Saccharomyces cerevisiae S288C: one gene and its partners. Changing the gene in region 2 together with the main gene of any one other region gives a genetic interaction. Each region holds a gene or a part of one and is shown on either strand. Other genes may lie near its edges.

Region 1 (7,719 bases), on a different chromosome or scaffold from region 2:
ACCCTCCTCAAATTGATATCTCAAGTGTGTGGCTGTTTTTTTTGTCATAATTTTCTCTAATTCTTGAAGAGTATCTAAATTTGCTTGGGAATGCGTTTGTGATTCTTGTGGGGTCCTATCTCGGGCGCCTTCAATGGGAGGGGTGTTCAACAAGCCCTCTTTGGTGGTTACTAAGGATGAAATTTCTGAGTCCCTCCCCTTATTATGAGAAGTTGTAGAAACTGAGGGAGAAATGTTAACAGAAGGATCCCCGGTTTGCGTAGTTCCTCCACTGTTTCCTCCTGTTTTGGCAGGAGCAGCTTCTGCTGTTTGCTGCTGCTGTTGTTGCTGGACATTCAAGTTCATCATTTTATTTCTATAGTCAGAAGTACTTAAGCAAAATGCGATCAAGGAACTTGGTTCATCTTCGCGGATTATAACGTCACTATCAGTAAAAATGTGTTCCGAAGGACAGGTTGGATAAACAAGGGGTTTCCACAAATACGCAGATCGATCTGCCCAAAAGTTGCTCAAGGTTTTCATCAATAATGATTTTTCAGGTTGTGGAGTGGATTCTACCTTATTGACAGTTGTTGTTGTTATTACAGGTGGAAGCGGCTCCGACTTTGAATTATCTGATTCTCTAACTATTGACTTTGGATTTTCTGAAGTTTCCTTTACTACTGGCTTAGAATTTAAATGAGTACTTGCGGTGGTCTTTCCAGAGGGGTTCAAAATGTTTTCTCCCCATTGGCTAATGGAATTTTCTAATTCAGTTTCCAAGTTTTGATCTAAATTAGGAGGATTACAATTATTGGCCCGGGAATGTTCTCCCACAGGTGCCTCCAAAGTCTTAACATTCGCAGATGACAAATTATTGCCTGAACTTCTAGAGTGAAGCGGTTCATCAACTGCGTCTTTGACATTTTTATAAATTTCCACAATTGGTGTGGATGTTTGTAATCGTATGGCTTGGTATTTATCCTTATTAAGTTGTAATCTTTCCCTTTCACGTTCCAGTTCAAATTCTTTCGACAGGGCATCAAAATGCATTTGATCGAAAAATGTAGCTAGCTTACTCACCTTATTATTTTTACTATATTCATTAGCAAGTGATGCTAGTCCACATAAACTACTATCACTACTCATTTTTCTTATGTTAGGTCTAGTGCTTTTATCATGAGTCATAGATATACCTGTTCCACTTCTGCTTATTGGCGGACGTTCTTCGGTTTGAGGGGTCAAAGAAGAAGAAACCGACGATGCAGAAGGTGTAACTGTCAAGTGACTAGTACCACTTGTTGGAATAATTGGAGTGTCGTCTTTAAAAGTGGTTATCGTCACGGCATTCTGTGGTTCGTTCGTTCTGTCACGATTCTCTGTCGTATTCTTGCTATCAATTTTCGGCTTTTCGACATCTTTCAATCCCTCTAACGGTAATTCGTTCTTTTCTGGTTTCCTCGTCTTCGCCTTTTCATCATGAAGTGATTTTTTGTCTTCGCTGTCTTTTCTTGAAGAATCGTAAAACAGTTTTTTCAGCTGCTTGGCCGTGATACGACTAATATCAGTTTCAGAAGGCAAATAGCTTTTTGCAAATATCGCAAATGTAGAGTTCCAATTTACAGCCTTATCGTATAGAGATTTGATAACCAGGTTCAATGGTAAATGTTGATCGCAAGGACTATCTGCGTAAAAAGTATCCAGGTCTTGCAACATTAATTTTTGCTCCTCTGTAGCATTGCTCTTCAATTCGATAATTTTAGCTTGTCCACTAAGAACTTTATCTTTAGTCATACTATCCAATTTAATACGTTCCAACCGACTTAGGACACTCCCATAGAAATTATTGATCTTTTCCAGAATCTTATAGTATAGTTCCACCTTCAGTTTGATGTCGATATGAGGTTTCCATTTTATTTTGCGTGGTGGGGTTATCAATTCATGAACTTCTAAATCAGAATATTCTAGTCGAACCACTAAATCATTGTAACCAAAGTATTTGACATGATCTTTAGTGAAATCATGAGGACATTTCCCAATTCCTGTCACGCTATCTTTGTAACTCCAAAACATGACTTCTAAATATTTACCGAAAGAATGATTCCAGGTTTTTTCGCTAATTTGTAAAATCGGAGTAGATGTCCCACATTTTTTACAATAACTCCACGTGAGGATAATATCTTTTAATTTTGGTAATCTAGTTTGGAATTTTTCGATTAAAACGTCTACTTTTCCTGACCCATGAACATAGCTTCTATAATGATCCAAATACAGACCATTACAGCCTTGTTGGCAGGGATACCTGGCAGTTCCCACGACGTTCTCGATAAACTGACCAATGGAAATATCACTGTCCCAAAAATAGTCAATAGTAACAATTTGAGGGCCAACGCAAGGTGTGGCAGTCTTTGTTGAAACCATTGAGTAGAGAACTGTTATAGACTGGTGTGAGCCCGTACCAAGTAAGTTCTGTGATGATGAATATGAAACCTCCCATTGACGACTTCTCTTCTGAAACTCAAGCTCTAAATTTTCAATTTCCATTTCATGCAGGAATTTTATTAAATTTCCTAAGTGTTTCTTAGTGATAGTCGATTCTAAGCCTTGAAGCATATTTAGTTGCGTTTGCCGATCTAAATCAGATTCGCTTTCATATTGATTGATCCTTTCTATGAGCTTCTTTTCCAAGCCTCTGGCTTTTTCCAATAAAAAGGGAATGGGGAAATCTACCGTTGGTGATACAGTCAAAATCCTGTTATTGAATTTGATCAAGAAATCTGCAAAATAACCTTCGAAAACTTGCAGTTTTTTGGATTCAGCTCTCTTCAAATAAACATCTGTAGAAAGTTGTATGAAATTATCGTTAAAAAATGAACTTTCCAACTTCAATGAAAAAATTGCGTAGACCATAAATTCAGAGACTTGTTTGATTTTTCTCAAGTTTTCAAGACTATCACCTCTTAACAAAATTGTTCCACCAAGTTCTGGGTTACAGCCCCGAAGAAATGTATATGTTTTACTGATGTTTCCATAAATGTAGCTTTTAACTTCAAAAGTTTCACATTCACCCATCTTAATATTCGTAGCCAACTTATCCACAGAAATGGCAATATCTGCTTCTGTTAGCTTGGCAATTCTTTCAATGACTTGTGGTTTCATATTAAACTGTACGACAATGCCTGAGTCATTTAATAGTTCTAACGCGTACCCACTAACATTGGCGCCGACGTATATAATATCAGGATGTAATGACTTTAATCTCGAAACAAGTTTATCCAAATATTCGCGCTCTTGCCTAAAGACGGACTCTATACTTAGAAAGTGGTTATTGTTCTTTTGGTACTCCAGTGGAAACATGATTAATAGTATCCTTGGGTTTTTCAAATGCCGTGGCATTGTTTTCGACGGCAATGCTTTCGAAAAGACAACCCCGTCGATATATTCTGAATTTTGAGGAGATCCACCACTAATTCTTTTTATCTTAACGTAAGTTTGTCTAAAATCTAATGTGTTCAAATCCCTCGCGTTCAGGATGGTCCTTAAAACTTTACGCAAAGCGCCATCTAGAAGGGTTATCCATTCTTGAAGATTGGAAATTTCTTGATCATTCAATAATTGTTTTAATAGGGCATGCATATGTAAAAGAGAGACTTCATTTAATTCTCTCTTTTTTTCCTTTTTCAGTTTGAATCCCGATATACTAGCGATTCTCTTCCAAGGATCGGTGTTGATATTGCTATTACTATTGCTATTATTATTGCTGCCACTGCTATTGCTGAATTTTCTGTCAGTGAGTCTGCTTGCAGCGGATGAAGAGGCCTTGTCTTGCAAAGGAGAAGAATCGTCGTATAGATTATCGTCGCTTACTACAGAAAGTAAATTGGGAGTACTATTGGTCAAGAAATTTAAGTCTCTATAAATGGAACTTTTCGAATTGTTGGGAAAATGCTTGCTTTTACTTTTCCTTCTAAACCTCATCCGCTGTAGTGAAGCTTGCGCTCGTTGAAAAGATTTTGTGGAGTTCCTCATTGATCTAATTGGATTGTCAGTTTTATGGTCATCATTCAATACAGAATATATGGACATGGAACCTTCGTCCTCAGAAGAGTCTTCCTCGTTTAGAGGATATTCTAGGTAAGCGGACGTAGATTTAGATTTTGTCAGTGGGTTTCTTTTCTTCTTATCTAGAGTGAACGTCGTGCCATTGTCGTTTGAGGGAATGTTATTGTTGTCAGCAATACCGCTGGCACTGTTATTATTATTATTATTATTATTATTATTATTATTATTATTATTATCATTATTTCCATTTGCCGTGTCATTTTGTTGCGAAGGACCTTTGGAATTGTAGTTGAATTTAAACTTGTAATTTCTATGAGCATAATTCCCGATAATACGATTGGCAGGATCCAGTATGGAAGAAGACTGTGCAGACGAAGCGGGTGTTGCAGAGCTATTGTTACTGTCCTTGTTAACACTATTGCTGCTTACATAATGGAAAATAGACCTTCTTAAGGAATGCGCAGGATTATTGATGTTGCTGTTGCTATTGGTATTGTTATAGTTGCTGTTGTTGGAAGTAGTGTTGTTGAGGTTGTTGATGGTAATAGTGCTGTTATTGGTGTTATAATGTGGCCTCAAAGTGGAATTAGAGTTGGTATCGTAATGTGATATATTGTCCATATCTCTGATAGTGTACCTTGTGGGCACGGAATCGAGGTGATGATGGCGACCGGGGTTGTCATCTTGATAATGCAAAGCCCTATCGTTTTCCGAATCGAATGAGATTTCCAGCGATCCGCCTTGCTTTGTTGCTGGGATGGCCATCTTCGGTGGTGGTGGGGGTGTAGAAATGAACAATTTAGAATCTTCACCTGAGGTCATTATACTTTGTACGTCATCGTCATTTAATAGGTAGACCTCATTCTGCTGTTGAGGGTTATCCGTTGCTGCTACTGGATCATGGAGATCGGTACCGTTATGGTTGTCCTGTGAAATGAGATGCAAATGCGAATGTGAATGAGAATATGGATTGGTATTGGAAGAACGAGAGCGAGAGCGAGACCTTGGCTCATTCAATTGCATTGTAGAATCATTCTCTTCATCACTGGAGTCCTCGTATGTGTCTGCATGCTCATAACAATTGTAACATACTCGCATCTTGGCATGACAGCCGAATCGATCACCATCTATCAAGAGAGTGCAACTGCTGCAAAAAATTTGGCCGCATATCCTGCAGTGGTGTTTCCTTCTGAAAGTGTTAAACGTTTTACCACAACTGAAACATTCTTTAGAACTCTCGTCCTTCATCCAATATTCCTTTGAGAGGACACCATTGTTACTGGTCTTGTCCTTCTTGCGGTTGTTATAAAATGCGAACAGGAAACTCTTGGACAGGGATGCGGTCAACGAAGAAGAGGCACTCTTTATCGAAGACACTTCATCGCCAACGTCGTCATGATCGCTGTCAGGAGTGCGCGCATAGGAATTCTGCATGGAAATTGGCCGATTGTTCCTAATGGGGATAGCAGTAACAGTGGATTTGGAGGCATATATGCTAGATCGTTTAAAGTTGGAGTCGTTCTTAATGGGCAGCTGCAGCGAGTGAGAAGGCTTATAGCGACTCGGATATCTCTTGATGGTGCTAGAGGGTATCCTCCCACTAGTTGTTGGCGGCAAATTTTTCTTATTCACGCTGGTACTAGTGTTAGCATTAGCTTTAATGTTCGAATGCGACGCAGTGCCGGTCACGTGACTTGTTGATGTCGCTGTTGCTATCGAGGATGATGTGGGGGGGCTTATTTTTGGCACGGAGATATTGCTCAGAATTGGGTTTGTCACTAGATCCGTCGTAGTCGACGTCGTAGATGTCGACATAATGTGCAGGGACGGTTTCTTAATATAGTTCGGTCTGGATAAGGTAGCATCGATTGTGTTCACAGATGAAGTACCAGTGGAGGACGACCGGACATGTGAGCCATCTGGAAAGGATATAGATGCATGGGGTTCTTCCGATGACATGCTGTGTGACGGTCTTGCATGTACAGGATGGAAGCTACCTTGCTATTCGAAATAGTTTTTTGTTTGGCCCTTTATTTACTTTCCATATGGTTTTCGCGTTCGTCAAGAAGTACATTGCGTTTGCGTTGCCTTCGAGGCGAGACGAAGGAAGGAACATAAGAATATAAGAAGCAAAGGAATAAGACGGCTTGTGATACATTTCATGGGAAGAAGAGGGGGAGAGGGAGAGTTAGAGAGAGTCAACAGAAAAGAAATAAAAAGACTGAAAAGGTCGTAAGCATGGGAATGAAGTACGTATTGCCTTTGCGACTAATTGGTCTAGCGTACCTGTTGGTGCTATTTCAGGTGCATAGGGTAACTGGGTGGGAGTTGTCATATGAGCAGTACCATGCAGCGCATCTGAACGAAGCTATCAACCCAGACAGCGGTTGGAACAAAAGTACCAAGAACCTGCTGTTGCCTTTTAACAGAACGCGCGTACCCGGATCGGAAGGCTCGCGCGAGATCCAGCGCTTCATCATCGAGCACTTCAACAATACGCTGGCGGGAGAATGGGCCGTTGAGACGCAAGCCTTTGAGGAGAACGGTTACCGCTTCAATAACCTTGTTATGACATTACAAAACAATGCGAGCGAGTACTTAGTGCTCGCTGCTCATTATGATACCAAGATAGCGCCCACGGGGATGGTGGGCGCTATCGACAGTGCCGCCTCGTGTGCCGCGCTGCTATATACGGCCCAGTTCCTAACGCACATCGCGTGCCACGAGCGCACGAAAGAGTACAATGACTTAGAGTCGAACACTGTAGTATCGAATTCTACCTTGGGTGTAAAGATCGTATTCTTTGATGGAGAGGAGGCCATTGAAGAGTGGGGCCCCGAGGACTCGATTTATGGAGCACGCCGATTAGCCGCCCAATGGCTTGCTGACGGCACGATGACAAGAATTCGCCTATTATTTCTTCTGGATCTTTTAGGAAGTGGCGAAGAGGAGCCGCTAGTGCCCAGCTACTATGCAGAGACACATCAAGAATATCAGCTGCTCAATCGAATAGAGGATGACTTGTTATTTCGACGTGGAGATGAAATCAACGGCGAATCGGCATTAGCCGCCGAAGTCGCGCGTCAACGCAAACATCTGGACCCCACGGACTATCGATTTTTAGGGCTCGGGCATTCGGTCATCGGAGACGACCACACGCCATTCCTGGCCGCCGGAGTACCCGTATTACATGCAATCCCGCTACCATTCCCAAGTACATGGCACACCGTGGATGATGACTTCCGGCACTTAGACGCCGCGGAGACTCGTCACTGGGCGCTGCTTGTGTGCGAATTTGTAGTACAGTCACTACGCTCCCGTAACCAGTGATAAATCCCCTGTTTCCTTTCGTTAACATCTCCCCCTGATCTGGGGGATGTGGGGTGGAATGAGTGGCCCGGTCAATGTCAGTGCACCACTCTGAAAAGCTTGCACACATACATATACATATATATATATATATATGTAGGTATAGTAAAGGTTTGCCTGAGTAATTTTTGCGCGAGAGATCTACTATCAGCAGCGATGAGAGCAGCTACATAACACATAGTAAATCACACATCTACGCAACACACACACACACGCATACACTCACCCTCATGACAGATCCCCACTTGAACACGCCCCAAGTGAGCACGTCACCCACATTTGAAAGATCACAGGACTTCCTCAACATCG
Region 2 (3,604 bases):
TGCCCTAAATATCTTCTATACTACAATTCATTTTAATTCAATATCATATTTAAGTTGAGGGCATTTAGATCTTAGAGATTCATCTAAAAATAGGAGGGGTGATGTATAGAAAATGTTCGAATATCATTCCTCTGCTTTTTTCTATATGATTATTTCCTATATGAGCTTTTACTTACTGATCTCATGATCTCAGTGCAAAAATTAGGGGACCGGCACGCCTGAAAGTTTTTTAGATAATTGAATGTTGCGGTGCATTACCTATGAAAAGATGAAGCGCACGTGAACCATATTATAATCAACAAACTTGAAGAATAAAACTTTTGAGCGCATGAAGCCATGATATATCTTATTTGTATCGACATGCTTTAAGTCCTCCGTAGCTTTAAAAAGTCTAAGGTCCAAAATCCCTCGATGGTGCTGATATCACCATTATTCATGTCCATCAGATCTTGTCACATATTTAAACGTGATACCGTTTTAATGAGTTGAAAACTAAATAATTAATATTTTGATATTAAGGCTGGGTCAATAGAATTTAATTCATTAAAATGCTCATCGTTGAAATGAAGCAACGCTTCGTAGTTGTAGTTTAACATGCCAAAATTTTCGTTTCTCTCTTTGCCTAAGTTCGTAGCAATATCTGTATCAGCAGTTGGTGCGTTGCTTTTGGTATCTTTGGAAACTTTAATGATCTCATCTCCATAAGGAGCGTCTGTTTCCATAAAATTTGGTGAAGATGTTGTTGATTCTGACAGGGCTATATCCATTTTGCTTTGTGACAAGGGCCTCGTTGGTGTTGAAGGAAGTATACAAGAAGAGGACGAAGGACCTGGTGTAGGTTCTGTCAAAAGTTCCATCAGGCCTTGGTTGTAATTTTGGATGAAATTGTCGTTGCAAAACATGTTCGTAAAATCAATTTCGTTTAAGTTCGTTAAAGAATCTTCTTTCTCTATCTTTACACAGGAATTCCGCGTTTTGAAATTGTCTAAAAATCCGGTATCATGTAGATCCGCATCCAACTTCGTTTTCAACCTTGGCCTAGGTTTCGAATTATCCATCTGTCTGGATTTTATTTTAGAAACGGAGTTTTTATTTGTTTTGAGCAAATTTTTTTTAGACGTCAAAGGGGGGTTTGATAGTGGGAGAAAAATGTTATTGAAAGCTTCAATTTCCTTGGTTAACCCACAGTCACAAGAAATAATTGGTGTGACGAGTGGTAAGTTTAGACTTGCTTTATATTCTAATTCATCAAATGTTTTGATGGCTTTTTCGTCGTTCTTCTGACGAAGATTTTCCTTAAACTTTTTATAGTCATCCGTTTTAGTAATCAAATCAAATCTCAGCTCATGTGAATGTATGTTATTCATAACAACCACGTTCCACTTCTGTAACCGCACAGAGTAGGCTGCTCTAATTCTAAATGGACATGCATGGGATCTTGAAGAGGAACCTTTGGATTTAGGGTTCAACCCTACTTTCGATCGTACTGACCTACACTTAAAAGTAACTTTGCTACTATCTGATCTTTCGATGACTATATCTATTCCTTGAGGATAGAATATTTTCTGTAGCCACGGTTTAATCTCGTGCCTGTCCTCAAAAGACGGAACTGGGTCTAAATGAATAAGTTTATTTTGGTCTTTAGACATCATAGATGCTAGATTATCGGGAGATGCTGTTAACTTCATTTTCCCTGTTTTAGACACTGATATTGGCACAGATATTATGCTCTTCATCGACTTTGCTTTCATTTCTTGGGGGTCGCTTTCTCTTGATTAATTTGCGCCAGAGTTTCTGGTCACTACAACAAATTTTTTGAATGAGTCGTGTTCACTATTATGTATAGGTCCATCAGTTTAATTTGCACAGTTTTTGCCTTAATCAAAAGAAAATCAATTCTGACTAAAAGAAAGCCACTTTACCGATCTCGGCCCACGAAACGATTTTTTTTTTTACGGTGCTTTTTTCTTTCTTTTTTTTGTTCTTTCTATTTTTTCCCTTTGCTTTTCGCACAATACCGCTTACCGTCAATCGAATAATGAATGGCTCTGGTATCGTTCAATAAAATGAGAAACGTGCTTCCAGTTCAAAACCAAACAGCTCAGACAGGTTAAAGTGAAGAAGTTGAGATATATACAAATTAATGTCACTGTTATTTTTTTTATTTACATTTCCTTAACCTTTATTTAAGAAGAATTGTTTGAATGTTATTGTCATCAGTAAGAATTGTCAGCACTGGGCTATTTACAGAGGGACAGTTACCAACAAAGAGATCTTTGACACTCCTTATACCGTATTTGGCCCTAATGTCTGAGTAGCCCACGAACAGCCACCGTTTGAAAGATATAGAGTACTTGTATACCGATAACGCTGTTCCGTAGAGATGTTGCTCGGTTATAAAAATATACTTCCCATTGTTTGCTATCTGACGTCCTGTTCCTGAAGCATGGACATGAAGTTCTTGTGTCTTGTAAAATATTGGATAAACCTCGCTGTCTGAGACGGGTGGAGAAGAATTTGAATTCTCTATGGGGTCTCTTGTTGGAATGGACAGATATCTCATGTTGGTTTCGAGTAAAATGTGATTCGTTTTAAGAAGATAGTCGATCTTTTGAACGTCTTCGTCTATTTTAAGCATAAAGTTTATTTCCTTGTTTAGCGTGGAAGCATCCGATCCTAATAGATTCTTGCAGTGGAAAATCATATCATTTCCTTTGTATAAAGTAAACTGAGGGAAATTTAAAACGGACTTGACATTTGTGGTCGTGCGTAGATCTACAGGCAAATCAATGTTGGTATGGAAACTTTGAAAACTTCCATTGCTTTGTTGGTGATCTAAAGAAGTTATTAGCAGCCCATCTTTCAAACTAAAAGAAACAACGAAATGTGGCAACAAACCTGCCCAGACATTTAATATAGATAGGTGGCTTTGATGAGAGGAAGTTGAAGGATCCTTCAAAAGCAAGTGATTGTTTACGTTTCCGTTCAAGTCGCAGTTTAGCTTTAACAACTTTCCATTCTGAAATCCAACTAAAATTTGAATGGTGTTTGAATTATAACCAAAATTGCAGTCCATACATATTATTGCGTCCGATAGCAGTAAATTCAACTGCCCGTAAAATTGCTGCTTAATAAAAATCAAATGTTGGCCGTTAAAGTCATACAGCAGTAATTTTTTGTCCTCTGCTTGATTAGAATAAAAAATCCAGTACTTGCTATTGAAATTTCTAAAACTTTTGAAACTTTGTAAATCGTGGGTAGTAAAATAGTTATTAATCCGTACAAATTCCAACCCACGGTTACTTCGAAAAACATCTTCAAGTTCCTTTTCTTCGTCACCATCATCGTCTTCTTCAGAATAGTTTCCAACATCTCCACCATCCTCTCCGACATTGCTAAAGGTAAGCTGGTCGATATGTTCCTTTATCGTATCTGGAAGCTGTGGGTAATCATTATTCACCGTGTAGTTGCCATACTTGCTCGCCCGTTCGTCAAATACGTTCTGATATCTCGTGTGGTAAAATTGCACCCCCTTCCCATCCTGGTATATTTGCATAGGTATACCCATGATTTCGTTATGATTATTTTCTTTCTTGAGGGTGTT
Region 3 (3,945 bases), on a different chromosome or scaffold from region 2:
CAAGTTACGAGAATTGTTTTTGGAGCTTTTTCAATTTTTTGCTCATACCTACAAGGATATGCAAGGATTTGAATCGGGCCCACCTATACATGATCCGGTAGCTTTGATGCCGCTTTTGGAATTTTATGGGTGGGATCCATCGTCTGCGGTTGGATTTCGCTACAAGAGAATGGACATATCCTGCATTGATGATGTTTTCAACGAAAACTCAGGGAAAATTATCATTGAAAAAGAATATCCAAATGACAGTGATGTTGGTACAATAATTGGTCTCGATTTGAATATCCAGTACTTTTGGGATCAGATTTTTGAAGCATTAAATAGAGCAGACAAAATGTCAACGATTGGATAAGAACTTCTATAAAAGGCTTTTTTTTTTTCTACTGACCTTTGGTCAGGTTCTGTTCCTTTCATTTTCACTGGATACAAAGAAGTTTCACTAAAAGTTGTCGCGATTGTATACATATATGCGTATATATACAATTCTACATGTTTTATATTTATTCCATTATATTCTCGTTAAATTTTAACTTTAAATTAAGAGGGCAAAGAGGCCCAGCGGGAGTTAATTTTTCTTCCCATTCAGGGTCAAGACTCCATCGAAACTGTTTCAACATTTCAGCCAAAGAAATTCTCATTTCTGTTAGGGCTAGTTTTTCCCCTAGGCATGCTCTTCGGCCTCCATGGAACCCAGTCACAGCACATCTGTTTTTCGCCATTCTCCAGTTTTTCCTTATGGTTTCGATATCTGAACCCCATCTTTCTGGTTTAAAATCATCTGCTGTTGTGCCCCAAGTTTTGGGATCGTGTGAGGTTCCAAAGTTGTTGTACCCGACATATACGCCCTTGGGTATAACAATTTCCGCCCCCAACTTGCACGTTTTGGTAGTACATCTATTAATAATTGTGCTCAAAGGAGGATACATTCTTACTACTTCGAAGAGAAAAGCATTTAATAAGGGTAAATCTGCTAAGCCTTTTGGATCAGTGATGCCGTTTACTTCCTTCCTGAGTTTCTCTTGCCATTCATTTGAATATTTGGCTAGAAGGTAGAGTGAACTATTAAATAGCAACTGCGGGTTTTCATGGCCAGCGACAAGGATAATGACGATATTATCGGTCAACTGTTTGTAGTCGATTATTTCGTTATTGTGAGCACGAATTAGATCACTGGCAGCAAAAGTAGTTTGTTCAAATTTGTAATTATTGACTAATTCATCTTGAACTCTTTTAACGAGAAGTTCTCTAAAACTAACAACATCCTTGAAGGCTTTTTTTCTTGAAGGAATAGGAAGAACATCAAGGAATGGAAAAGTTAAAAAGAATGGATGAAATATTTGCTTTTTAATACGAATCAAATGCTCGTGGAAAGCATTTTTTTCATGTGTTAGAGCACCAAAATCAAATCCAAGGGCAACCTGTGAAATGTTATCCAATGCCATTCTCTGGGATAAAGGTCCCATAGGGATCGAAGTTTGTCCTTCTAGGAGTCTGTTTTTTATCAAAGTGCATAAAATTTTTGCATTTTTGAATATAGGTGCATCGTCAAAATGTTGGAGCCCGTTTGTCACAGCATTTCTGTAGTTTCTCCAAACTGCACCATACGCGCTAATGACATTGTCCCCTGTGTAAGCGGCAAGAGCACTGTATGGGATTTTCTTTTGATTACCGCTCTTCGCAAAAGTATCTTCATCTTTGAATATTTGTGCTAGATACTCAGAACGAGAAACGAGAATATTCCACCGTGAACCAAAGAAAAATTTTACAGCACCGTATTTTTCCATTGATTCCCTAATATAAAGATCGTATAGCTCCGTTTGATCAATGGGAAATATTACTGGTAAAAATACTACATAAAATGGGATGGTGGGTATATTTTTGGGAAAGTTTAGAGGTGGGACAATGATTGCAAAGGCGACATAGGAAAGAGTAAGAAATAAAATCAAACACAGAAGCTTTAACAACTCCATTTTTAATGCTTTTTTCGATTTATTCTCTTAGTCTGAATCAAATACCATTTTGAAAAAACGAAAATATTTCAAGAAAATTAATGTATTTTTTTGCACTACCTAATATACTATTCGCATCAGGATGACCAGTCATTCCTCTTGTGGTCCGTGGCTTGTAATTTTCGGGAAAGATAGAAATCACTGCATTCATCGAAAGAAGTGAAAATAAATTGTATCGGGGAAGTAATGAGGGGTGGAATACGTAATTGCTTCTCAATTTGATAATACAAGTTACAGTCTTTTTATTGAGAGTCCCTGGAAGGAAAATTATTGATGTTTACCTTTTTTTGCGACGCGCGTCTGGCCATAAATAAAAGGGTTCTCTTGCCAAGAAAAAATAAAAAGGCGCCTTAAGGGACCTTCTATGACAAATATGGTGAGGTATGCAACCTCAATGAAGAGCAATGAGAAAATTTAAGGGGTAAGTAAGCATCGGAATTTGTTGTTTCCTAACAATTTGTCTAATTTACTCAATAATATCAGGAGAATTGATCGAAAAAAGCAAACCAGGAACCCCTCACAAATAAGGGAACATAAAGTAATTGCTCGTCTTTACATACATGGCACTCAATCCCAGACGTCGCGTGCTAAAAATCCTTATATTATTGGCCCCTCAGGAGTTTATTTGAATTTTGATTGCATTGCTTTCAGTGGACAGTATATCATAAAATTTGCAAGGGCATAGTGCCTGCCCTACGATGTTGTAAAACAATTTCTGAAAATAGGTTCAGAATCAAAAATGATGTATAAATATTGAAATAAATTTTCACATAAATTGTGCTCCTCCGCAAAGTCTTGACTAAATAAACAATTTGTTAATATCCTAATTCGGTAAAGCTTTGTCGAGACATTAACAAAAATGACATTTACTAGCAACTTGCCCTCAAGCTCCGAGCAGTCAATATCACCACCTGCCTCTTCATTTTCTTCATCGACTGATACGTTGAAAGATATTGATATTCCCCATAATGGGGCCGATTTGTCTACATATAGTAAATTTCTGGCCCTGTATTGCAGAAGCGACAAATGTGACGATTTTTACTCTTTAGAGGAAAAACAGAATTGTAAATTTGGAGACCAATGGCTCGACTTTATCAACACTATTCACAATCTGGACTTTTCTGAATCCGAAGTAAGTGGACGGGTTTCTGAAAGAATTTTGCCAGCTTCTTTAGCAAATAAATTTACCAATAATTTAGGAGTGGCAATAAAGATTTCTGAATATACACGCGATGACGAACGCCAGATTCGTGGGTGTGTTACAACAGTTGAGAATGAAAATTCTTTCAATAACTGGTTCGTATATCATATTTTAGACCAATCTCAATTATCTCTAAGTGAACATCCAATTGTAACCAAAGAAGTTAAGTATCACGAATTATTTGCAGATTTTTTTGAGAAAAATTTGAAAAACACAATAGTTAATGATCAATGGAATTTTGGTGGCCGTGATTATTTTATTGAACGTTCAAGATATTTTACCGATCGATATTTGAGAATTGAATGCATCTTGCCAGCGTTTCCATGTAAGTCATCTAATGAGCAAAAAGTGTACGGTTCCGTTCCTGACAAAGGCGAAGAACTCGCTTTGAAAAGATTAATAAAAGCCACACAAGACCTTGTCAAGATATATCCACCGGGTATGAAAATTTGGATAGTTAGTGATGGCCATGTTTTCTCCGATTGTATTGGGGTCGATGATGACGTCGTGAGTACTTACACGACCAAATTGCACGAACTGTATAAAAGAGTGGCTATACCTGGTGTTGACGCCATTGGCTTTTGTGGATTGAACGATTTATTTTTTAGCGGTGCAGCTAGTAAAGTTTTCGATCCAAAGTGGGTTAGTGATGTTGAAGTTGCACACTACACAGGAACTCAAATCTGTCCTAAGTCCGATTTGTCGAGACAGATTTTGATGAAAGGCTGTGATACA

The links.
Region 1: of AFT2 (region 2) and FAB1, changing one enhances a phenotype caused by changing the other (phenotypic enhancement), as found in Saccharomyces cerevisiae (one study listed by BioGRID).
Region 3: mutations in AFT2 (region 2) and DIT2 together harm fitness more than expected from each alone (negative genetic interaction), as found in Saccharomyces cerevisiae (2 studies listed by BioGRID).

What each region holds. Positions count from the first base shown.
Region 1 is NC_001138.5:182,783-190,501, reverse strand, and holds the start of FAB1 (1-phosphatidylinositol-3-phosphate 5-kinase), read right to left. Parts: upstream 6,001-7,719; coding exon 1-6,000. Other genes in the region: YFR018C (uncharacterized protein), read left to right, coding at 6,280-7,371; IGD1 (Igd1p), read left to right, coding at 7,641-7,719. UniProt on the Saccharomyces cerevisiae protein: The PI(3,5)P2 regulatory complex regulates both the synthesis and turnover of phosphatidylinositol 3,5-bisphosphate (PtdIns(3,5)P2).
Region 2 is NC_001148.4:167,588-171,191, forward strand, and holds AFT2 (Aft2p), read right to left. Parts: upstream 1,752-3,604; coding exon 501-1,751; downstream 1-500. Other genes in the region: YIG1 (Yig1p), read right to left, coding at 2,183-3,568. UniProt on the Saccharomyces cerevisiae protein: Transcription factor required for iron homeostasis and resistance to oxidative stress. With AFT1, activates the gene expression in response to low-iron conditions, also called iron regulon.
Region 3 is NC_001136.10:1,271,734-1,275,678, forward strand, and holds DIT2 (putative cytochrome P450), read right to left. Parts: upstream 1,971-3,945; coding exon 501-1,970; downstream 1-500. Other genes in the region: URH1 (trifunctional uridine nucleosidase/nicotinamide riboside hydrolase/nicotinic acid riboside hydrolase), read left to right, coding at 1-352; DIT1 (Dit1p), read left to right, coding at 2,869-3,945. UniProt on the Saccharomyces cerevisiae protein: Involved in spore wall maturation. Thought to catalyze the oxidation of tyrosine residues in the formation of LL-dityrosine a precursor of the spore wall.